Linked DNA regions of Ovis aries. The protein of the gene in region 1 purifies or fractionates together with the protein of each later gene. This does not show direct contact. Links are inferred from orthologs where the notes say so. Each region holds a gene or a part of one and is shown in the gene's direction. Other genes may lie near its edges.

Region 1 (8,103 bases):
CTGATATTCAGACACTTGTTGCAGTGCCCTCTTCTTTTGTATCAACTTGTTTCAGCTTCTGGTCCCTTTTCTTAGCAATCTTTTTGTTGGTGCCAATTTACAGTAGGGTGAAGAGTTGCATAGGTTAATGTGGGGAATATGCATTATTCTCAGGCTCCATTTTTCCATGACATTTTTAAATGATGATGATAACTGTGTTTCAGTTCAGTTCAGTAGCTCAGTTGTGTCCAACTTTTTGCGACCCCATGGACTGCAGCACGCCAGGCCTCTGTCCATCACCAACTCCCGGAGTCTACTCAGACTCATGTCCATTGAGTCGGTGATGCCATCCAACCATTTCATCCTCTGTCATCCCCTTCTCCCGCCTTCAACCTTTCCCAGCATTAGGGTCTTTTCAAATGAGTCAGTTCTCCACATCAGGTGGCCAAAGTATTGGAGTTTCAGCTTCAGCATCAGTCCTTCCAGTGAATATTCAGGACTGATCTCCTTTAGGATGGACTGGTTGGATCTCCTTGCAGTCCAAGGGACTCTCAAGTCTTCTCCAGCAGTTCAAAAGCATCAATTCTTTGGCGCTCAGCTTTCTTTATAGTCCAACTCTCACATCCATGACCACTGGAAAAACGATAGCCTTGACTAGACGGACCTTTGTTGGCAAAGGAATGTCTTTGCTTTTTAATATGCTGTGTAGGTTGGTCATAACTTCTCTTTCAAGGAGCAAGCATCTTTTAATTTCATGGCTGCAGTTACCATCTGCAGTGATTTTGGAGCCCAGAAAAATAAAGTCTCTTGCTGTTTCCACATCTGTTTGCCATGAAGTGATGGGACTGGATGCCATGACCTTATTTTTCTGAATGTTGAGTTTCAAGCCAACTTTTAAACTCTCCTCTTTCACTTTCATCAAGAGGCTCTTTAGTTCTTCACTTTCTGCCATAAGGGTGGTGTCATCTGCATATCTGAAGTTACTGATATTTCTCCCAGCAATCTTGATTCCAGCTGTACTTATCCAGCCTGGTGTTTCTCATGATGTACTCTGCATATAAGTTAAATAAGCAAGATGGCAATATACAGCCTTGATGTACACCTTTCCCGATTTAGAAGATTTCAATTCAAGCTGGTGTCCAGCTTTTTTCCTTAGGATCGTTTGAAAATGACAGAAGTTGCTCAACTTTATAAAGTTACCATATATCATAACAGTGTGACATGAAGGCAAGGATCTGTGTAGTATTGCCTTACTCATTTTATAAAGATTTTTTGTGTGTCATGTAATATAGTTAATTATGCTCTCCAAACTTTAGTTGAACTGGCCCTTCCCACTAACCACCCCTGCCATGCACAGCACTTTAATGGGATGTTAAAGATACTTCATTCTCCTATTTTCCATGGTGTCTAACAATCTTATGTTAAATTTGTAATTGGAAGATAACAATATATATTTTAAATTTGAGAAACATTTTGCTCTTAATGAAGAGATGCTAGAAGAGTCTAGTGCTTTTCTTAGAGTTTGGCTAGTGGTCTACTTTATCAAATGCTTCTCCTATAATTCATTCTTTAAAAAAAATGTTATGGACAGTATTGGTTAAGATTTATTTAGAGTATTGCTGTCATAGAGATTAAGTTTTCACAACATTGTAAATTAACTATATTTCAATAAAAATGTACAAATAAATTTCTTAATGTTATTTCTTCATGTTAAGAAGTTTATAATGTTTAATTATTTTCCACTAGGAAACCACCCCTACTCCAAATCCCCCGCCTACAGAAGAAGAGAAAACAGAATCCAATCAGGAGGTTGCTAACCCAGAACACTATATTAAACATCCTTTACAGAACAGGTAAGCTTTCTGACACATAGATTTTTTGACTTGGGCAACAACATAAATGGTGAATGGGACAGGTTTGGAGGGGAAGGTTAGAATAGACTGGTTTTAGGTATGTTAGGTTGAGGATTCCATTTTCACTTTGATGACCCACATCTGGCAAGCAGTTTTATGTGTGAATCTTGCGCTCAGGAAGTGTAACTTTGAATGGTAGTTGAAACCATAGGAGTAAATGAGTTCTCTTAAGTGAATCTGACTCACAACAGAGGCTTGGAATATTAGCACATGGGGATTTTTTTTGGGTAAGAATGGCTATGAAGATAACAGACGTGGTGCAAAGAGAGAGGGGGTTGGGCAGGGATGAACTGGTAGTTTGGAGTTAACAGATGCAAATTATTATATAGAGAGAGTGGATAAACAACAAGGTCCTACTGTATAGCCCAGAGGACTATATAGTTAATATCCTATGATAAACCATAATGGAGAAGAATATGAAAATATATATACAGATGTATAGCTAAGTCACTTTGCTGTACAGCAGAAATTACCATAACATTGTAAATCAACTGTACTTTAATAAAATTTTTTAAGAATGCCTGTGGAAGAGTATAGACATATATACTGCATAAACTAGGGCAGAGTGTTAGTCATGGAAACCAAGAAAATGGTTTAAGGACAAGGTACAGCATATATGCCCCAAAAAGGTCAAATATTCATTGGATTGAACAATAAGTCTTTGCTAACACTGGAGAAAGTTAGTAGAGTAGATGATAGAAAAAGATTGGTGTAGTTTGAAGAGTGAATAGAAATATACAAATGTATAGAGCAGGAATAGACAATTTGAAGGATAAAGTTGAGATGGTCTGTGAAGAAGAAAGAACCTAGGGTATGTGGAGTCTGGATATTGGTTGGTTTGTATTTTAAGAGAAGTTTAGAAGAGGAAAAGAGAGTTTAGGATGAGTTAAGTTTTCATAGTTGCAATGTAGTAGTTTAATACTTCAGTATATGCTTTTTCCTATCTCCACCCTACCACTTCCCAGTATGTGCTTTTACTTAATTATCTTTCTTGTTTATCTGATAAAACTTAACTTTAATTCACTGAGAGCTGATGGTGGGAACACTTAGAAACATTGTAAGAATCTGGAGGAAAGTAAATTAGATAAATTAACTTTCAAGGATCTGTAATTCCTTTCATTCCCCCTCTCCCAGACCCTATAAGTCTATAATTAGGTTTCATTTATCTGAAAAGTGTGTTGTTCCTTTATGTCCTTTTTTTTTCTTCATTATCATTGTAGACCTTCTGAAGTAATAGTCCAAATATGCTTTAGTAGTTTTTTCATAGAAGGTGGGTGATTCAGCGTACCCTCCAGGGAGGAACAAGTCAGTTCTCTAGATACTGTGGATTGTCAGCCAATGTGTGAAATACCGAAGGTCGAATAGTTGATAAAAGGAAAAAATTCTTTCTCAGGAAAGATTGTGCCAAACTAATACTAAGTTGGACAATTGATGAGTGGCAGTTTTATACAGTTCATCCTAGCAGCAGTACTAAAACCTTTAAAGTATTTTCCCCCCATCTTTTCAGTGGTATCATATAAAAAGCTCACTGTTTTCTCTCTGTGAACACAGTTCTTCATGTTGCTGTTATTGTGGGAGATCAAGGCATATATCCGTCATAGCTTAAGATGAAATCTGAGATTCCTGAAAGGTGCCCTTATCAGTGAACAAACTGATTAAATCCTAAAATGAAGTCTGTGAAGATTTTAATTTCTCTATAATTTCTTATTTCTTGTGTAAAATAACATCACATTGAAAACTGTTCTAAGACATTTTTGGTTCTGATTTTGGTGATTTCTTCATTATTTACTTTTTGTAAATAATTTTGTAAGGAATTATGTTTTCTTTAAAATAAAAACCACTATCGTATTATAAGAACGATTAAATCATTGAGGCTCTAAGTATACAAAGTTTTAAGTTCTCTGTTTTTCCCTGATACCTTCTTCCTCATTTTGTTTTGCTCCACTCCCCAAAATAGTCTGTTAAAAATTTGGTTTGTATTTTTCCAAAACCTTTCAATGTACATATATATACTTTTTTAATCTATACAGATTGCAGATTGCCATACTATTAAGTCTTTATTTTAATCCACAGCTTTGTTTTAAATGAATATACAGTCATATTTTATCAGGCTTACATTAATGAGTATGCAGAGTTTTTAAATTTACAAACAGTACTAATGTATGCATCCTTTTTTTTTTTTTCTTTTTGCACTTGTGTGAATATAGTGGTATATCTATATGGTAAAATTTCCGAGTTCTTAGGTTTAAGACTGCTCATTATCTACCTTTGTAGACACTGCCAAATTATCCTCCTTTATCTGCTTAGACTTACTGATTTCTACATCCTTGCCAACTGGTACCGTCAGTCTTTTAAATTTAATTGCCTGTCAGGTTGGTTCTAGCCTAATTTGCGAAAACAATGTCTTATTGTTTTGAATGTGCATTTCTTCTATTGAAGTTTCAAACAGTTTTGTTCAAGACAATTGCTTATTTGTGTTTTTACCTGTGAGAAGTCTGTTCAGTTCTTATTGTCTGTTATTTTCTTTTTGGTTATCTTTTCAAGTTTATTTCTAAGCATTGTACATTAGGGATGCTAACCGATCCAAGGGGGGATTAGGTTGAAATACACTTCCAAATCATTTGTCTTTTAACATTGTCTAAAGAGTTGTGTTATTTTAAAGGTTTTTTTATTTTCATATAATCAAATGCCAACTTTCCTCCATGGTTTCTGGGTTTCATGTCAGTCTTAAGAGAATTTTACCCACATATTTATCCTTTTTTTTTTTTAACCCACACAATTAACACATTTAATAGTGGCCTAGAAGTCTTCTTGCATGTATATATTATGTTTATTATATTTTTAAAATTATTTATTGTAATTATTTAAATCTCACTTCTTTGGGCTCATGACCCCTTTACATTCTTAAAAATTATTGAGGATTCCACAGTGTTTTACAGGTTATATAGATTTTCATCTATTTTCATTTGCTATATTAGAAAATCTCAAAAAATATAAAATTACATATGTACTTAACCCATTGCATTTTAATGTAAATGATTTTTATGGAAAAAATTTATTCAAAATAAAAAATACATAATGAGAAGAACAGCGTTTTTGTAAATATGTTCAAGTGCCTGGCTTAATAGAAATCAGCTAGGTTTTCATAGCTGGTTCTGCATTTTCAAGTCTTTGGAGATACGTTGTTTCAGAGGAAGTTTAAGGATAAAATATGACCTCAAATATACCATGGTTGGAAAAGGAGAAATTTTAATGGCCTTTTATAATTATGAATATCTCCTTCCTTTGATACTAGGTTTCTTGCAGGTTAGTTGCAATAAAGAATCTGAAACCACATCTAAGAACTTTTTTCTACTCTGTTGCTTTAAAATCCATTGATCTGTCTTGCATTTGAAATATATATATCCTTCTTCACTCATGAATACCACTGGTCATTTAGAAAATACTGGTTCAGTGAGTCTGTAGACCTTAATATTGGCATTTTTTATTATATGATATCAAAACAATAACATTATCATTACTAAATGTCCCAGAAATATACCCAAGTTTTGTTAAATTGTCATGCTCAGTGACACCTGCAGGCTTTCCAAAATTCTGATTTTTCTCCTGAAAGCTTAAATTTTAGCTACATGCTCACTCTGTTCATTTTTCAAGACGTAACCATGATTGATCAGCCTATTCTTCCAAGTAAAAGTGGTGTTCTTTGAGAAAGCGACTAGTTCTCCTCACAACTCAATGCCTAAGCATTGTCTTTGGTATGCAGAAGTATTTTTTGTGCAGAAAAAACATGTGCACAGATTGAAATTTAATAAAACAAGTATTTTATTACTGCTTCATCAGTGGCATTCTTACAAGAAACTGGCAGTTACTCTTCTGAGAGTTGATTATAATACAGGAACAGTGACAAATGGTAGACATGGGTGCCACTGTATGATTCTTGTTATGTACATCACTGCTAGGTTTACTGTTGTTTTTGCATCATCAGTGAACATGTTAACACAGTGAAAAATAAAATATCTTAGGACTTTTATGAAATAGTTTTTACTCATCAGTGCTCCTGAAAGGGTCTTAAGATGCCTAAGGGGATTCGTAAACCACATTCTAGAACTGTTGATAGGCACTTATGATGTTTCCAGTTTTCCAAATTTAAGAACGTTATTGTACAGATATTTTTGCTTAGTCATCCAGTCATTTTCTAGAATAAATCTTTAATGGCTGCAATTTTTTTTTAATGGAATGGAATTTTATTATTTTCAGTTGAAGTGTAACAATTTCAAATGTACAGCACAGTGATTCAGTATTTGTATGTATTGTGAAATGATCATAATCAACATCTATCACAATACATACTTATAATATATTTTCTTATAATGAGCGCTTTTAAGATTTAGGCTCTTCACAACTTTCACATTTGCAGTGCAGTGTTATGAACTGTATTTACTCTGTTGTACGTTGCATCCCCATGATTTATTTTATAACTGGAAGTTTGTTCCACTTGACCCCCTTCATGCATTTCCTCACCCCTTTGCCTCTGGGAACCACCAGTCTGTTCTCTGTATCAGTGAGCTTGGGGTGGGTTTTTCTCCTTTTTTAAAGTTTTTTTTAGATTTCATGTATAAGCAAAATCATATAGTATTTGCTTTTCCTGTCCAGTGTGTGATTTATTTAACTTGTTACAAAGTCCTATGGTCCATCCATGTTGGAAATAGCAAAATTTCCTTCTCTTTTATGACTGAATAATCCATTGAATATACACATTCATACATACATACATATTTTCTTTTTTCACTCCTTGATGAACATTTAAGTTGCTTCTGTATCTTAAGCTCTTGTAAAGCTGTACTAATCATGGGAATTCATATATCTTTTTCAAGTTAGTATTTTCATTTTTTCAGATAATATCCAGAAGTGAAATTGCTGGATCAAATGGTAGTTCTGTTTTTTTATTTTTTCAGGAAAGACTGAATTAGTTTTAGAAATCCAGGGTACAGTACTTGATACTGTATGTTTAGTAGTTTTTCTGCCTTTGCTTTTTCAAAATATTTTTTTCCTTGATCACGGGTTGGCAAATACAAATTACCAGGTAGGTGTTGAAATGCATCTCATTTTATATGTCTGAAATTATCAAGCATTAATCATGAAGTTATAAAATATATGTCTACTTGAAAACTCTTCAGACAACATTTTTATTAATAAGTGAACTCACTGCTGCTTTGAACATGGATGTGAAACTTCTGTTGACACTGACTTTCTGTTTTTTAGATGGGCACTCTGGTTTTTTAAAAATGATAAAAGCAAAACTTGGCAAGCAAACCTTCGATTGATCTCTAAGTTTGATACTGTTGAAGACTTTTGGGCGTAAGTAACCATTTTAGGATGTTTGTTTTATTGTGTACATTTTTATTTTAAGTTGTATTCGCAAAAAGAAGGGTAAGGTGAACAGTTGATATTTACTTTTTTGCTTGTTCATCATTTCACAACTGTTAGAATTGGTGATTATTTCTCAACAGTTTTAGAAAGCTTCCATCTTGTCATCATTTAGCTCTGCCTATTCTATTCCTTGTCCTAAGATATCATTCATTGAGAATCCTTTATTGTCACTGGAACTTCTGACAACTTTTAGGACCTTGTCCCCTTTCTTGGTTACCTAGGCAAATTTGCTCTATTTTTATTCCAGAGCTTTCTTAGGAAAAGAATGCTTTTCTTAGCATTTCTGCAGATTCTTTTTTGTATAAACTGTGGATTTCCTGTGATAAAGATTCTGAGATTTCAAAGGCTGAACTGCTCATAAATCAGGGTTTGTCAAAGAATGACAGTATCTGTGATGATAGATAATTTTATTGCACTTTGTAAATAAAACTTAAGAATACTTGAAATATTTTTGAGATTTTGTTTCAGATTTAGCTATATAATTTAATTTAGAGCTATAAAGTTCTGTGCAAGAAGTTTTAGAATATTGATTCTTTAAAACAGTTTAGTTATGTCTTATTTGCTTGAAAAATATTTAGGGAGAAACTGTTGGAGAACATGAAAGATACAGCTTATTAAAAACATGTTTAAGAGCTGTAAGTTACCTAGCAGTTATCTAAGTATTCTAATTTGTTCAGTTCGTGTATTTTGGATCATATCAGTGATGTGATTCCTGTGTTTTAATGTTAATACTTGGGTGTATCACACAGATAGATTATGGTTAGAAAATTGTAAATTAATA
Region 2 (8,103 bases), on another chromosome or scaffold:
GGCCGGCCATGATCGCGTCGTGTCTGTGTTACCTGCTGCTGCCGGCCGCGCGCCTTTTCCGCGCCCTCTCAGGTACCGGCCCCGCGTCCTGAAGGGCGGGTGCCAAGCCTCCGGGCCTGCCTTGGCGGGGCCCCCGCGGGGTCTTGGGCGGCGTGCGTTGCGCGGCCGGCCTCACGACCGGTTTATCCTGGACTCCGCGAGGCCCAGGCCTGGCCGGCGACCCTCGTGGGCGGCACCCCCCCACCCACCTCCTCACGCCGGTGGCCTGGAGGCGTCGGGCCGCAGTTACAGCGTGGAGGCTGCCGGGGGAGGGGCGGAGCCCCCCCTCTCCCCCACTTTCTGGCCCCGCCGGCGCGGAGAGGCTCCGGGGCCCGCTGAGTCACTTCTCGGGGGGTCAGGGAGGGTTGGCCCCCTTGGGGGCCGAGGCGAGTGCCCGAATTCTCCGTGGACAGGGGCCCTTCGGCCTTTAGGGGTCTGTGGACTGAAGACCTGGACTTGCTTTGTCTTCCCCTGGGTCGACTCCACAGTCGCCTTTCCGAGCTGCCTCTCTGCGGAGTGTTTGGTTGAAAAACAGCAGAATCCAGAGACACGTTGAAACCTCATCTTTGAAACAGTTGTTCCGTGCGCTTAGACATGTCGTGGGTGGAGGCAGTGCTCAGCGGCGGCCTGGAGAAGAGTTACTGTTTAACTTTGCCGGGGTTTGCCCGCGCACCCCATTCCTGGCCTTTGACTTTTCCGAGGTTCTTGTTCTTAAGAGACCATCCGTTCCGCTCGGAGATCGCACAGCACTCCTGGACTTCTCTCTGGCATTTTAGGGGACAGGACAGACTAAGAAGGAGTTTTAGAATAGAATAGAGTAATTTCTATTTCTTAGAAATAGGTCCAGCTGTGTGCATTCTGCGCTTTTCCTTTTTGGAATTTTACATTTTGTGTGTGTAATATCTGTTACTTCATATTTCATATAAAACACTTAAAGTATGTACATGTATGTTTGTATCTGCGCACTAGAATGCAGGCTCCAGGAAGGCAGGGCTGTCTGTTATGCTCACTGTATCTACTGCTAACATACTACCCAGACTATAGTAGGCACTCAGTTCAGGAATCCGAGAATGTTTTGTGTATACATACTCCTTAGAAATGAGGAACTCCACAGAAGGCATTGCTTTCAGAGAACCATCGCATATTCCTCTAGCCATGTTGCTGCTATTTCTTGAGCTTTGCCACTGTTCATAATGGCAGCCTTAGTGACCTATACTTAGTGACCTCTAGTCCAGAGGTTTCTTGACCAGTAGCCAGAGTTTTGGCTGCCCTCCCACCCATAGGTGTGGGCCTCCCCCCATCCATAGGTACACACCTATTAACGTAGTCCTATTTGTGTATTTGGTTTCTACAGATTTTCTATCTTGAATGAAAATTCTGCTGAAAAACACAAACCACCACCAATCAAAACCTAAATTTGAAAACTAGTAACCTCACACATATAAATCAAAGAACTTTTGCCATTTGGTATAAATAGAGGATGTTTCAAAGGGCAGTGAATTAGCGAGTCCCTGAGACTAAAACCAGCAACCCAGCACATAGGTTTAAAGCAGAGTTTCCCACTCTCAGTACTATTGATATTTGGTAGTTCCTTGTGGAGCTGTCTCTCACTGCAGGATGCTCACAATCTCTTTATCCTGTAACCACTAGATGCCAGTAGCGTCCCCACAGTTGGGACGACCACTGTTCCTCCAGACGATGTGGAAATGTTCTTTGAGGGCAGAATCACCACTTTGAGGTTTGAGGGATCTAAATCCACACAGGCCATAAATAAGAGTGTCTTTCAACATTTGAGCCATTTTGAAGTTTTTCTTGCCTGAAAAAAAGGAACTGATGAAATGCGTCTCCAGTGATGGAGGGACATCATCCATGTCACTTGGGTGATATAAACAAGTGACTTAGTGTGTGTTGGTTGGGGGATGTTTTGTCTGCACCACAGTACTGTGCTTGGATTTTGGGGGCCTCTAATTTTAGAGTTTTTCCCACCTACTTTCTTTTGCCTGTTGGCTGTCATTGTGGCTGCTGTAGCAGAGAGGTGGCGGCTATCTCTTGCTGAGTTGTTGGCACCTTCTGATTTGCAGCCTCTAGAAGGCAATGGCTCACCACTCCAGTACTCTTGCCTGGAAAATCCCATGGACGGAGGAGCTTGGTGGGCTGCAGTCCATGGGGTTGTGAAGACTCGGACACGACTGAGCCACTTCACTTTCACTTTTCACTTTCATGCATTGGAGAAGGAAATGGCAACCCACTCCAGTGTTCTTGCCTGGAGAATCCCAGGGACGGGGGAGCCTGGTGGGCTGCCGTCTATGGGGTCGCACAGAGTTGGACACAACTGAAGCGACTTAGCAGCAGCAGAGCGCTATGGAATGGGAAAGCTGATAATGATATTTGTGAAGATTTATGAGTAGAATAAATAGCTTTGAGAAGAGGACCCCAGGCCTTTGCTAAAAGGTAGATTGTCCAGATTTTGAGACACCCTTTTTGTCTACTTTCTGTTGGAATGCATTCATAGACGGGGAAATTTATAGAACTAGAAAAGCTCTTGGGGATTATCCAATTCACAGTTCTCTCGTCCTCATTTTACAGTCAAGAGTAAGTCCATCTCACTAGGGGCATTGTCTAAGGTCACACAGTTTTGTTCATTTCGGTGCTGGGCCACAACCCACAGTTATGATTATGGTCAAGTGCTGGTTCCAGTGTCATGTGGCTCTTAGAACCAGAGAGTTGAAGTTAATAGGATTCTTAGCCTCCAGACAAAAGGAGCGTGGTTATATGTGATCATCTCTGTTCTCGATTATATGGGATAGCCATTCTTTCATTCACGCACAGAGTATTTATCAGATCCCTACCATGTAAATTAGTTAATACTTGTAAAGTCCTTAGAACAGTGCCTGACACATAGTAAGCACTTGGCTCTGGTGATGATTATGTTCCAGACCCTAAAACAGGCAGGTTCAGTGATGATACAATGGTGAGCACGGTGGATATGATTCTTGCTTGTATGGGACTTACTGGCTTTCTTGTGGCTCAGTGGTAAAGAATCTGCCTGCAGTGCAGGAGACCCAGGTTCAGTCCCTGGGTCAGGAAGATCCCCTGGAGGAGGGCGTGGCAACCTGCTCCAGTATTCTTGCCTGGAGAATCCCATGGACAGAGGAGCCTGGCGGGCTACAGTCCATAGGGTTGCAAAGAGTCGGACACTACTGAAGCGACTGAGCATGCACGCACACGAGACTTATATCAGAAGTTGAGAGAGGAGTGTGAGTTGAATGATGCCATCATCTTATAACATGGTATTTTGGCTTTCTTTTTAGATGCTTTCTTCACATGTCGAAAAAATGTCCTCCTGGCGAAGAGCTCGTCCTCCCAGGTAGAAGGCGACTTTGCCATGGCCCCTCGGGGCCCCGACCAGGAGGAGTGTGAGGGCCTGCTGCAGCAGTGGCGGGAAGAAGGGTCGAGCCAGGTGCTGTCAACTGTGAGCGATGGTCCCCTTGTAGATAAGGGACTCGCCGAGAGCAGCCTGGCCCTCCTGATGGATAATCCTGGAGAACAGGATGCTGCTCCTGAGGACAAGTGGTCCAGCAGGCAGCTGAGTGACCTGCGGGCAGCAGAGAACCTGGAGGAGCCTTTTCCTGAGGTGCTAGGAGAGGAGGAGCTGCTGCCGGAGGTCGAGGGCCCAATGTGGGCAGCAGTGCCCGTGCAGACCGGCCCCCAGTACACAGACTGTGCCGTCCTCCCCATGGGTGCGCTGGCCACAGAACAGTGGGATGAGGACCCTGCGATGGTGGCCTGGAGCATCGCACCGGAGCGTGTGCCCCAGGAAGAGGCTGCCGTCTGGCCCTTTGAGGGTCTGGGGCAGCTTCAGCCTCCCCCAGTGGAAATCCCATATCATGGTGAGTCTTGACAGCTGGTTGAGCGAGCCGGGGCAGCGGTCGTCTCGGAGGTGGGCAAAGCCGTTGCTAAAGAGAAGGCCCTTTTGTGTAGAGCTCTGCCGCCACATTCTGATTTTCTGAGACTTGCAGCGGCAAATCCAGAGGGGCCTTAGAGGTCATTTCATCTAGCCCTGTGGCCTTTTGAGATGGAGTCATCAAGGCTCGGAGAGGTGGCAGGACATGCCGAAAGTCACATAGCTAGGTAGTGGTAGAACTGAAAGCAGACCCTAGCTCTCATTCTCTGTGTTACTGGTTGTCTGGAGGAACCTGGGGTAAGGGTGGAGAGCTCTCAGGGATTTCGCTTTCTCTGCCCCAAACAGGATAACTCCATTTTTATCTGTGTTACATATTGGGCTTCCATGAAAATCTGGAGAATGAGGCTGTGCCTCACATAGGTTTGCAGTCCACTCTACAGCTAGCTCCCTGCTCTAGGGGATATAGGGGACACATTACAGTTTCTGGTTCTGTAGGCCCTTCCAGGTGTAGAGGTCAGAAAACAGCCAAGGCTGAGACTACTCTAGAAATGTCTTTAATCTCAGATGACTGTTAAGCGCATTCATCTGAGTGATTCCCTGGAGACCAATGGCTTTATCAAAAGTGAGGAGTTGCTGGCCATGTTTAGTGAATTTTAGTGGACTAAGTACCAGGTACTAAGCCAGGTACTAGGGATACAGTGGTGAACAGGCCAAGATTGTCTCTGGCTTTGTGGCGCTTACTCTCTGGTCTGAGGCTGTCCTTAGAGTGTTGTTCAGATCACCACAGAAAGGGACGGATGACAGGGAAAATGAGAAAGGGAACTTTGTCACAGTATCGCTGGGCCAGAGTAGAGATGGTAGGCCCTGTGGATAGCATGGACTCAACCATGGACCTCTTCTTCCCAACCCCTTTGCAGAAATCTTGTGGCGAGAATGGGAGGATTTCTCCACTCAGCCAGATGTTCAGGGCCTGGAAGCAGGGGATGGCCCTCAGTTCCAGTTCACTCTGATGTCCTATAATATCCTGGCCCAGGACCTGATGCAGCAGAGCTCCGAGCTCTATTTGCATTGCCACCCAGACATCCTCAACTGGAACTATCGCTTTGCGAATCTCATGCAGGAATTCCAGCACTGGGACCCGGATGTAAGCGAAGGCGGGGGCGGGCGGGGAGGGTGGGATGGATGGGGGTGTGCCATCTTGCATTTGCTTCGGACCCTGGCTGTTTCCCTGTGCCCTTAGAGAAATGAGTTCACCCACAGTTGTTCATGTGATTAGAGTCCGGCTTAGGATGGGAACTTGCTGCCTGGTATAAATGAGTTTTGGGCAGATACTAAGATGCCTCTCCATAGGTACACCCTCGCTAGCACCTTTAGGCAGGGAAGAAGACTTGAGGGATTCAAGGAGCAGGAAAATCCAGCTTCACTCGGGGCCTGTTCTTTGCTGGAGTGGCAGTCTGGGAAGAGTCAGCCCCCAGAGGAAGTGTCAGTGTGGCCCAGCCTGAGACCCACAGCAGCTTCCCACGTGGCTTCAGCGTCCGCTCCTGGGGTGGGAGTCACACTGCGGTGCCCTCCGTTACCCTGGAGTGACTGGTCTCTGTGTCGTTTCCCCAGATCTTGTGTCTCCAGGAAGTCCAGGAAGATCATTACTGGGAGCAGCTGGAGCCCTCTCTGAGAATGATGGGTAATGCCGCTCCTTGGCACGTGTGCCAGGCTTTTTTCCTTCCACCCTGTCTGCCCTCTATTGAACACACCATCTCTTCTTTCATCTCAGTGAACCCTCTCACCTGTGAGCTAGCTCCCTCGTGTGGAGTAAGAAGAAAAACAAGAGTCCTGAAGTTTTAAAGTGGTTCTGACATACATTGCCATTTATTTACATCTATTTACCAACTCTCTGAGGCTGAAATTATTACCCCCGTTTTATAGGGAGGAGACTGAGATTCAGAAAATTTGACTGACTAGCTCAAAGGTCACAAAGCTATAAATAAAAAAGCTCATAGCTTGTGGAGCCTGGACTCCAACTTGTCTTACCCCGGAGTCCATGCTTTTCCTATCACACCCTTCTGTCCCTCCTTCCCCTTCTAGCTGCACAGCCATCTGGTTACCGCTGTAAGGGAACCTCTGCAGAACCCAGGGATGTGTCAGGACACAGACTCCCCCGTGTTGAGCAGCAGGAGCGGTGCACTGGGCACACACACCTGGGCTGCTGGCATTGGTTGGAGGGATGCAGGGTTCAAGGACTCTGACCGATCTCCTTGGCCGGGTGTTCCTTGCAGGCTTTACCTGTTTCTACAAGAGGAGGACCGGGTGTAAGACAGATGGCTGTGCTGTCTGCTACAAGCCCACGAGATTCCGTCTGCTCTGCGCCAGCCCCGTGGAGTACTTTCGGCCTGGCTTGGAGCTCCTCAATCGGGACAACGTGGGCTTAGTGTTGCTGCTGCAGCCACTGGTCCCAGAAGGTCTGGGGCAAGTCTCGGTGGCCCCCTTATGTGTGGCAAATACCCACGTCCTGTACAACCCACGGCGGGGCGATGTCAAGCTGGCCCAGATGGCCATTCTCCTGGCCGAAGTGGACAAGGTGGCCAGGCTGTCAGACGGCAGCCACTGCCCCATCGTCCTGTGTGGGGACCTGAACTCCGTCCCCGACTCACCTCTCTACAACTTCATCAGGGACGGAGAGCTCCAGTACCACGGGATGCCAGCCTGGAAGGTGAGATGGGAGCGGCCACTGCTGGCTTGACTTACAGGGGGATTGGGGTGTGGCATGCAGGGCTGCTTCTGTGGCAGGGACCCAGGGGACTCCTGTGCTGCCTCCCTCCTGCTTTCTCGTGTCCTGTTGATAGCTCTGGTACCCATACCTGGAAGTTGGGAGCTCGTGAGTGCCTTTGGTATCCTGGAATCCTTTCGGGTTTATCATTAATTTATGTTTAGTTTACAAGTACATAAGTAAATGCACAGATATACACAAGTACCTCTCTATAAGGATTCAAGCATTATTACGTGACTCAAAGGGGAGACGTGGGAAATGGAGGTGATAAAGCGGGCTTAAGACCAAAGCCCGCTTTATTACCTGCATTTCCCACGTCTCCCCTTAGAGTCTCGTAATAACTGTTCAGAGTTTGGTGCTGTTCTTCCAGGTCATTTTCTGTGCATTTGCAGTGCTACCTAAACTGCTCTGGTGATGTAACTGTCATAGTCTCTATTTATTAATCACTAACTCTGCCAGATGCTATTTTAAGCACTTTACCTACGTTAACTCATTAGTTTCCACAAATTCTATCATTGCTTCTATTTTATAAGTGAGAAACTCAAGGCATAGAGAAAGTTAGGTCATTTACTCTCTATAGTTTGTGCAGGTCCTTAGTGGTGGAGCCAGGATTTGTAATCAGGTGGTCTGGCCCCAGGGCTCTTGCCCTCCAGTACTGTGCTGAGACTGCTTCTAATGGCTGATATCTACTCTATTGTATGTGTTTGTAAACATGACATATTACTGTATATTTTATTTTCTAGCTTTTTTTTTTTTTTACTTAACAATGCACATATGTATCTATCTCATTCCTATTGACTGCTGAATCTTTGTAACATAGCTGTATTACAGTTTTATTGTGCTTCATTTAGCCCTGCTGAGGAGCATTCAGCTTGTGCTGATTCCTTTATATGTCACTTAATCTCCTTGTTTCTCTCTTTTGCTCCTGCTGATCCAATTTGTTCCTTAACTTTTGGCAAGGCGCAGTGGTGAAAGGACGTAAGATGACTGAATTGTTGTCGAGCCCTTTGGGCTTTTATTTTAATGAGGTTACTTAGGTGCCAGCGATGTCCTGGTTGCCACATGCAAAGAGGAAGGCATTATCCTGCCAGGAGGCTGCTGCTGTTGCCAAGGGGCTCAGGGAATGAGAAGTAGACTTGGGAACGGCCTCCCACATGACAGCTGCCATTAAGCAGAGTGATTCAGAGCCCTCATTTGGAAGCCAGACAGTCCTGCATCCAGATCCCTGCTCTGCCACCTTGGGCAAGTTACTTCCCTCCCGTGAGCCCCACTGGCCTCATCATATCCTGGGGAATATGATGAGACCTACTTCTGAGGGTCTTATTTGGTGGATTCACTAAAATAATGCACACAAAGTGTTTTCCAGTTCCTGCTTCAAAGGGAGCAGTCAATAATT
Region 3 (7,948 bases), on another chromosome or scaffold:
GGGATGTGACTTTATGGCAGCTAAAATAACCAGTTGCTTCCTTTTTTTTTTTTTTTTTTTTTTTGAGGCTGTTTTGCACCAGTCTGAATCCTGACGTAAGCAAAATCTCTCAAAAAAAACATTGCCCGCTTTCAAAGCGTTTAGCGCAGACCTGCAGACCGACGGACAGACGGACTGACTGACCCACCCGTGTTTGGAGTAGGGAGGGCAGCGCTGACACGTTGGCCGAACGAAGTTTGCGGGACTTATCCCCTCAGTGCGCGCCCTAAGAAATGAGCCACCTGTGATCCGCGCCTGGTGGCCCTTGGGGCCTCCGGTCTTCTGAAGCCTCCGGTACAGAAAACGCGACTCCTTGCCTTGGCCCACCAGGCTTTTACGTCTACTGTCTGTTATTGGCAGCTTCTGTAGGCACCCTGGAGATAACTGACATTTTAATTAATTGACTTTTTAGTGTTAGCATTATTATGGGGTGGGCCCCTCGCTCAGTTCTCCACCTTCCTTTCTCATCGCTCAGAGACTTTCGGGGGAATTATATTTTAGTGGTTTTTTTTTTTTTTTTTAAGTTATTGTGTGTTTAATTCCATCCTCGAAGGTATGATGCTGCAGGCCCGGTGTGGCTCTGTTCGCCTGCTGGGGCCGGAGGGAGACCCTCCGCCCGGCAAGCCTGGGGGCAAACGTTTTCACAGAGCGCGCCCTGGGTTTCCTCGGGACTAAGCAGGAGGAAGCAAAGGGTTTTTCGAGATAGACCAACAGGAAACACATTGACGGAAATGTTGCCATAGCCCACGGGGTGGCTTTAACTGGCCGCCCCCGCCGGTCGGGTGTGAAATCAGAGGGGGGCCTGCGCCCTCCGGCCAGGATTGGAAGCTCCACTGACACCCGTCGCCTGAGCCGGAGGGCATTCCTGGTCGCCAGCTCGCCGGCCCCTGTCAGCGACGCTTTGGCTAGTGTGACAGACCCTCTCCCCCCAACATAAAGCACACACGGATCTTTGGAAAGTTTGGTTCACCAAGGGAGAGGACCCCTCTGCAGGTCTAGGCTAATAAAGTTAGTTGTGTATACATTCCAAGAGCGCCTGGTTAAAGAGGTTATGGTATTTTTTAAGCTCAGTCACTATAGTCGATGTTCTTTGGGGGATCAAAATGATTGTATCTGGCTCTGGGTGTGATGGTTGTGTGGGTCTGTGGGCATATGAATGTGACCTTCGTGCATGTGCAGTGTAGGTGTATGCCTTTGGATGTTCCTGTGTCTCCGGGTGTGATGTGTATTAGTGGGAGCCTGTTGGGTCCGTGGCTCAACGGGTATATGTGAATATGTCTGATTGAGTGCCCAGCAGCCTCCCTTCCCCTTATTTGTCACCCCCCCCCCCCCCCCCCCCACCCCCCGCCCAGTGCAGGCTGGTCTACGGGTGGGCCGGGCTGCTTCAGGGCCGCTTCTAACCAAGACGCTCTGGCCCGCAGGCAAACCCCTGCTCTGGAGCCCTTTCTTGCAGAGACCTCTGCATAAAAGGAAAGGAGGCCAGGTGAGGTTCTCCAATGACCAGACCATCGAGCTGGAGAAGAAGTTTGAGACCCAGAAATACCTCTCCCCGCCCGAGAGGAAGCGGCTGGCCAAGATGCTGCAGCTTAGCGAGAGGCAGGTGAGTCGCCTCGCGGGCCGCGGGCCGGGGAGTCTCCTGGGGCCGGGGTCTCCGGGGCAGAAGGGAGACAGTGAGGCCACCGGCAGCTGTTTGACTCCTGAACTTCTCCTCGCCTTCCCAGGTCCCTCGGGATTCTGGACTTGTGGCAAGTTTTCTTTCTGTCTTTCTGTAGGTCAAAACCTGGTTTCAGAATCGACGGGCTAAATGGAGAAGACTAAAACAGGTATTGAAATGGTTCTGTTTCTATGGAAATAAATATTTTTACCATGTTATTTCAATGCGGGGCCTGTTGTAGGTTGTATGCAAAAGTCATTTGAGGGACTATTTAACCTCTTCACCTTGATTAAAAAGGCAAATAGTCCTGCTGAAATTCAGGATGAGTTGTTCAGGCGGCAGTAATGCTAAAAGCACCTAATGCAGCTCCTATATCAATTATGCTTGGGTTTTCACACACTGGCTAGTAAAACTCCCAGCTAATTGTTTTATAAACCCCATATGTTGTTTATCTAATTAACGCAGGAAAGATAAAGTAATTGACAGTAAATGACTTAAGCAGTTATCTTTGGGAGAAAATTGTTTCTTTTATTTACACAGCCATAATAAAACCAGGCAGAGCTCAAGGGTAAATATAAGGAAATAAACACCTTTAAGTCTTGTTTGCACTGTTTTTTAGAAGAATTAAATATCAAAGAGTTTAAAAATTATTTTCCTTCTAATTCTAGCTCTTAAAATGAATATAAAAACAGCAAGAGACTACCCAAGCCTGTTTGAAAAGTAGCTTAAACTTTCTAACAGTCTTTCTTCCAGTGACCTTGTTACGTAATATGTGATAAAAAGTAAAGGCTAATTCAGTTTTTAAAGAAGCTCTGTTGACTTAGAGCTAAAGATTTGTTTTTGATGTTCTAATCTGATATTTTCTAAGTTATCTGACAAATGCGGAAGTTTTCACTTACCAGTTTATATAGTTTATGATAAATAAAATTTTTTTGAAATGAATAGGGAAATTGAAAGCAGTTTGCATTTTCAAATTTAGCAATCATAATTTTTTCATTAAAAACAATGTTACAAAAAACACTTTAAAACAAAATAAAATTCCCATAATTTCATTATTCTAACGCAGTTTTTAAAATTTCGAGTTTCCTCTCAATATCTGAGCCTTGTAACTTACCACATAATTATAAGCTTGGTAAATCTATTATTCTATAGTCTTGTTTTAGGAAAAAAAAAACTTTAGCAGTATATCATAGTTTTCCATAGTATTTATGTGCATTTTAGACAAAAACAGGATTAAAAATTTATTAACTTATTTAGTTCTTGGTCAAAGGTAGTTTATCAAGGACTTTAAAAATAGTCATTCCTGTGTAATAAGGGAATATTTTCAAGAAATTTCCTCCAGATTTTAAGTAAATTATAGTTATTTCCCTTTTCAGTTGGCAACATTCTTCCAATTCTGCATTTTTCTTAGCCATGATTGTAACTTGCTATATATGTTTATGTGTGTATATGTTTGTAAACTTAGTCCAGAAAATGCATAAAAAACAATTCAGTCTAGTAATTTTGAAACTTTTATCCTTAATGCATTATTTAGCATTCATATTTTTTAAGTGTCTAAAAGACTTTTGTCAATTTAAATATTTGAAGAATATAGTGTGTATCTGTTGTGATCTGATTTCTTTTTCTTCCTAAACTTTTAAGAACCTTGATACCATAGGTCTGGGCTGGAGTTAAGTATTCGTTTGACATAATACATTTAGTTATATTTGTGGTTAGTTGTTTTTATCTGGCAAGAAGAGTATAATTGTTCTCTGATATGACAGGAAGTTTACCTTCCAAGTTAGAAAGAAGCATAAATATGTATTTTCTGAATAAAATATTATACCTGAAAGCACTTGATAAATTAAAAATTAAAAAAGATGATGGAAGATGAAAAAACATTTGATTTATATCTCTCATTTCTCCGTATTTCATCATCTGACCAATCTCCATTTCATCCTCTTCTTTTAGGAGAACCCTCAAAACAATAAAAAAGAAGAACTGGAAAGTTTGGACAGTTCTTGCGACCAGAGGCAAGATTTGCCTAGTGAACAGAATAAAGGTGCTTTGGATAGCTCTCAGTGTTCACCCTCCCCTGTCTCCCAGGAAGACCTTGAATCAGAGATTTCAGAGGATTCTGATCAGGAAGTGGACATCGAGGGCGATAAAGGCTATTTTAATGCTGGATGATGACCACTGACATTGGTGTGTTTGGAAAACTGGGATTTGCTACAGGAAATCTCCTTGGATGAACCTGAAAACTGTATGAGAGAATCAATTTTCTGGTATTCTGGAAATCTAAAATATTTGGTGCACTGACTAAATAACAAACTCACATTGAAACCTTATTTTTGACTTAAATAGTTTTATATACCGATTTTAGATTGTATGATAAAGGGACTCTTCCCTGATTAAATTCACCCCCTTTTTTTAAAAAAATTGTTTTTTCTATTTATAAAAAGTAATTTTGAACTTTTTGGTTAAATTTTTAAGTTATAACTTTAAAGATTTTAATAGGAGCTTCTTGAATGACTTTTCTATAATCAGTTTCTACATCCTACTGAATGGAAAAGCAAAGGAGCATCCCAGATCCAGAGGTGTGCCTTGGAAAGGGGACCCACAATTCAGGCAGCCTTGGAATATTTTAAAGAAAATGTTACTTACTTATACATTACATTCTTATAGTATTGCCTTAACTCCAAAGCTGTTTCTGAGTTCTTATCTGGGGGATGTATGTATCTTTTTGTCAAAAAGATATACACAGTTGATAATCTTTAAATGCTTCTTTTGCGCTATCACTTAGTACCTGTTTGACCAAGGTGTTAAGGGGATAGTACAGTCCAGTTCAAGCAGAGAAACTGACTCATCAGTGACCAAATTTAATCACAGATGAACTAGAAGTAGCAGGTTAATTAAATGTAAGTAGATTGTAGATATGTTTTATATTAAACAGTGTTTATAATGTGTGTATATATAATTGTTCACTGTAAAAAAAAAATGGCCAAAATGTGTGTTTTTTTTAAAAATGAGTAACTTGTCTATAAAATAAATACGTCGGTGGGACGACTGACCTCGTTGAACCTCTCATTCTTGGATTTGACCAAACCTACCCCTTATCTTACAGCGCCTGGGGTGCTTGGCTGGGCCCTGGGGCTGGGGCGGGGTCGGGTGCAGGGGCGTCTGGAGCGTCTGGCGGTGTGTCTCTCGGCTTCTGGCGTCTCGGGAAGGCGGTTCAGGGCGGCGACCGGTGGCGAGCACCTGGAAGGTAGATGCGGGCCTTTCCCACATCTGGGTTCGCTGGGGGCTGAGTGTGAGTGTGTCTGGAGCAGCGGGGAAGGCCCGCTGCGGACCCGAGCCCTGGACGCGCCAGGCGGCGGGGAGAGGAGCTGCGCCGCCGCCGCAGCGCAGCGCCATCGATTCACCTTGGCTCGCGGGCCGGCTTGGCTCGCGGGGCCGGCGGGGCGCCGTCCTTGACCTGCCTGAGTCAACATGCGTCATCCCTTGGCGGCCGAGTCCAGGTTGGGGGTCCGCTTAGAGGGCTGGGGCCCCTGGCCGGTAGGCGGGATGGGGGAAAAGCAGTGTGTGCCAAGACAGCGGTTCTCACTCTTCAGTGAGCTTCAGAATCTCCCGCGGACCTTGTTGGGGCTCGTTGCCCACCCCATCCCCAGACTTTCTGATTTGAGTAGGTCTCGGATGGGTCAGGGAATTTGCGCTCTAACAAGTACCCAGGTGTGTCCAAGCTGCTGGTCAGGGGTTCTAAGGCACTTCTTGTGTGGAAGAAGCAGGTGAAACCCGTGATCCCCGCCTCGCCCTTTCTCCTCCCCTCACCCTTGAGGGAGCAGGAGGCTGGCAGCTTTGAGGAGCAGGGAAAGGGAAGATGGGGGGCATTTCGATGGTGGAGAAGGGAGCAGGGCTGAAGAAGAGGTATTGTGAGCTGGGGAGGAAGGAAGTGCTGAGCTGAGGGTGGGTATGGGGCTGAGAAGAAGGGTGGGCAGAGGTTTCTGACTGGCCCAGGTATTGCCAGTTCAGCTGCTCGCCTAACTGAGCCACCAGGTTCCTGACATTCCAGGAAAATGATGAGCGGAGATCTGAGGGGAGAGGCCAGAAATCTCTTCCTCTAGCCTGATGCTCCTTGGAGGTCTCTAGTTTTTACGGACTTGGATGCCTCTGGCCTGAGGTCCTGTGAAGGAGTGACTCTGCCCCTGGCCTGGCTTGACCAGGGCTGTGGCCCCCCAGACATGAGCACTCAGGTGAAGAGAGTGAAAAAGTCAGTGCATTTAGGGATGTTACACCTTCTTGCCTCCTGAGATTGCAGGAAGGCCCTTGGAATTACCTGTGAATTTTAATTTCTGAGAAAATTTGTCCTGGGTTCTGAAGCAGACAGGTGTGCACTGGCCTGGAAGCTTAAGGATTTCGGTGAGAGATTTAGTTCTTGGCCTCAGTTTCTTCATCTGTTGAATGAAGATGGTCTAGTTGACCTACCTGACCTCTACCAGCCCTTCCTCACCCTCCCAATTCCCAACTCAGTTCTCAGTGTTGGAGTCCAGAGTAGACATCCAGCCAGAGGGTCTCCTTTCTCCTCAGCAGTCAGGTTCCAGGCTCCCTGACCCTGCCTGACAGGTTTCATCAAAGTTTCAAAGGTCATAGTCTCATCTGAAAAGAGGACTGACTGTATCAGAGTTTGGGGAGAACAAGAGGCTTGTGGGCCTAATATTGAATTAGAGCAGTCCTGAAATCTGTGTGTGTGTGTGTGTTTCACTCCTGGAGATAACCTCTGGTTAATATTTATTCTTGAGAATAACTATCGTGACTATCAAGCTGAGAAATAAAGGCTTATGTATTGATTGACACTAGAAAAACTGAGAAGTGAAGCTCATTTTAAAGTAGACAATCCCTGACACCAGGCCGTTTTCCAGTTTAAAGCTATTCCCAGTTCTCTGAAGGTTGCTCCTATTCTGAATCTGAGTATGTCTTTAACAGTCCAGAGTGTGTTACGTGAAGGAAGTACAGTATTTTCAGGACACAGGTTGGCATTAACTATTTTCTAAAGTGTCCCACTGCAGATTGCCAGTGAATATTTACAAATTCTTCCTACAATCCAGGCATTTTTCATTTGTTTGTCTTTTGGCTATTTCATGTTGAAGCAGCATGTATGACCTTTACAGCACAACTCCTGTCTTGTTTTTAACTCTTTTTATCAGCAGATTCAACTTGAAAACGGTTATCATTTAGCAGAAAGACAAACAGAAAAGCACATTTTGTAAGCAAAACGTTAATGATTGGAAGAATTGCCCTAATTTCATCATGACTGTGTGTGATTAATCCCCTGGGTCATGTACTTATACTTTAAGTTATTCAGCTTGTCAGTCTTTGATATTCAGAACCCTTCCTAACTTAATAGGATATTGATTTTGTTGGATGATGTACTTTGACTCTTTAAACAACATCACTTTTAGGGATGACTAGCTTGCTGTGTAGTATTTTATTTAGAGAACTGTTGCATAAGTTTTCTTTTTCTTACTTTTTATGGTTTTCTCAGGGTGAAAGCTGATAAGACATCTTGTGGGAAAAGAGGAAACCATCTCTGATAGTGAAAGTACCTATTCTCTTTCAACACTTCTGGCAACCTTTTTTTTTTTGGTGCGGTTTCATTGCTGTGAATATTCATTTTAGTTAATGGGGGCAGGGCAGAGATTTAAGAAAATGTATCTAGTCTTGGGGGAAATGCATTTAGCTGGGGACAGAACACACTTACCAAAATTCTCATTCCAGTTATACTACCTTGTAGAAGGCGGCAGGAACTCAAAAACTGACACTTTTGATTTTTTTTTTTAATCTAATGATCAATGAGCCTCTAAATCTGTGACTGGAGGTGATATTTATGTGAATTCTGACAACATGACACATAATTTGGAAAACCACACAATCACTCAGGATGCTTCTAATTAGTTAGGAGTTCAGTATCTTGTAGTAAAAACAACCAGATATTGTACTAACGTTTACTTTTCATCTCTTTGGGTTTCATGAAATTCCAGCTGGAATCTCTCTAACCTGATTTTTATCCCTTGATACGTTTTTCTTGATACTGTTGTTGAATCCAAATGAGAAACACTTTGGAAATTCCTCGCACCTACCAAAATATCTGACATCTAAACTCTACAGAGCCGATGTAGTCTACCCCTTCAGATGTAGCTGTAGGGATCCCTTCTCAGGAATCTTACCCAAGCGGATAAGAGCAGGAATGGAAGTAAGGCAGTCGAATCCCCTCCACCTCCC

The links.
Region 2: the proteins of EIF4E (region 1) and ANGEL1 purify together in Homo sapiens (affinity purification with mass spectrometry; 3 studies listed by BioGRID and IntAct, counting the BioPlex papers as one, with this or other methods). This does not show direct contact. The link is inferred for Ovis aries from reciprocal best matches to the Homo sapiens genes EIF4E and ANGEL1.
Region 3: the proteins of EIF4E (region 1) and HHEX purify together in Homo sapiens (affinity purification with western blotting; 3 studies listed by BioGRID and IntAct, with this or other methods). This does not show direct contact. The link is inferred for Ovis aries from reciprocal best matches to the Homo sapiens genes EIF4E and HHEX.

The regions. Positions count from the first base shown.
Region 1 is NC_056059.1:26,264,328-26,272,430, forward strand, and holds part of EIF4E (eukaryotic translation initiation factor 4E), read left to right. Parts: intron 1-1,725; coding exon 1,726-1,832; intron 1,833-7,154; coding exon 7,155-7,250; intron 7,251-8,103. UniProt on the Homo sapiens protein: Acts in the cytoplasm to initiate and regulate protein synthesis and is required in the nucleus for export of a subset of mRNAs from the nucleus to the cytoplasm which promotes processes such as RNA capping, processing and splicing.
Region 2 is NC_056060.1:86,229,421-86,237,523, reverse strand, and holds part of ANGEL1 (protein angel homolog 1), read left to right. Parts: exon of another isoform or gene 1-8; coding exon of another isoform or gene 9-72; exon of another isoform or gene 73-2,490; intron 2,491-3,350; coding exon 3,351-3,929; intron 3,930-4,860; coding exon 4,861-5,087; intron 5,088-5,554; coding exon 5,555-5,624; intron 5,625-6,216; coding exon 6,217-6,650; intron 6,651-8,103.
Region 3 is NC_056075.1:13,873,113-13,881,060, forward strand, and holds the end of HHEX (hematopoietically-expressed homeobox protein HHEX), read left to right. Parts: intron 1-1,460; coding exon 1,461-1,639; intron 1,640-1,811; coding exon 1,812-1,862; intron 1,863-3,643; coding exon 3,644-3,862; 3' UTR 3,863-4,742; downstream 4,743-7,948. UniProt on the Homo sapiens protein: Recognizes the DNA sequence 5'-ATTAA-3'. Transcriptional repressor. Activator of WNT-mediated transcription in conjunction with CTNNB1.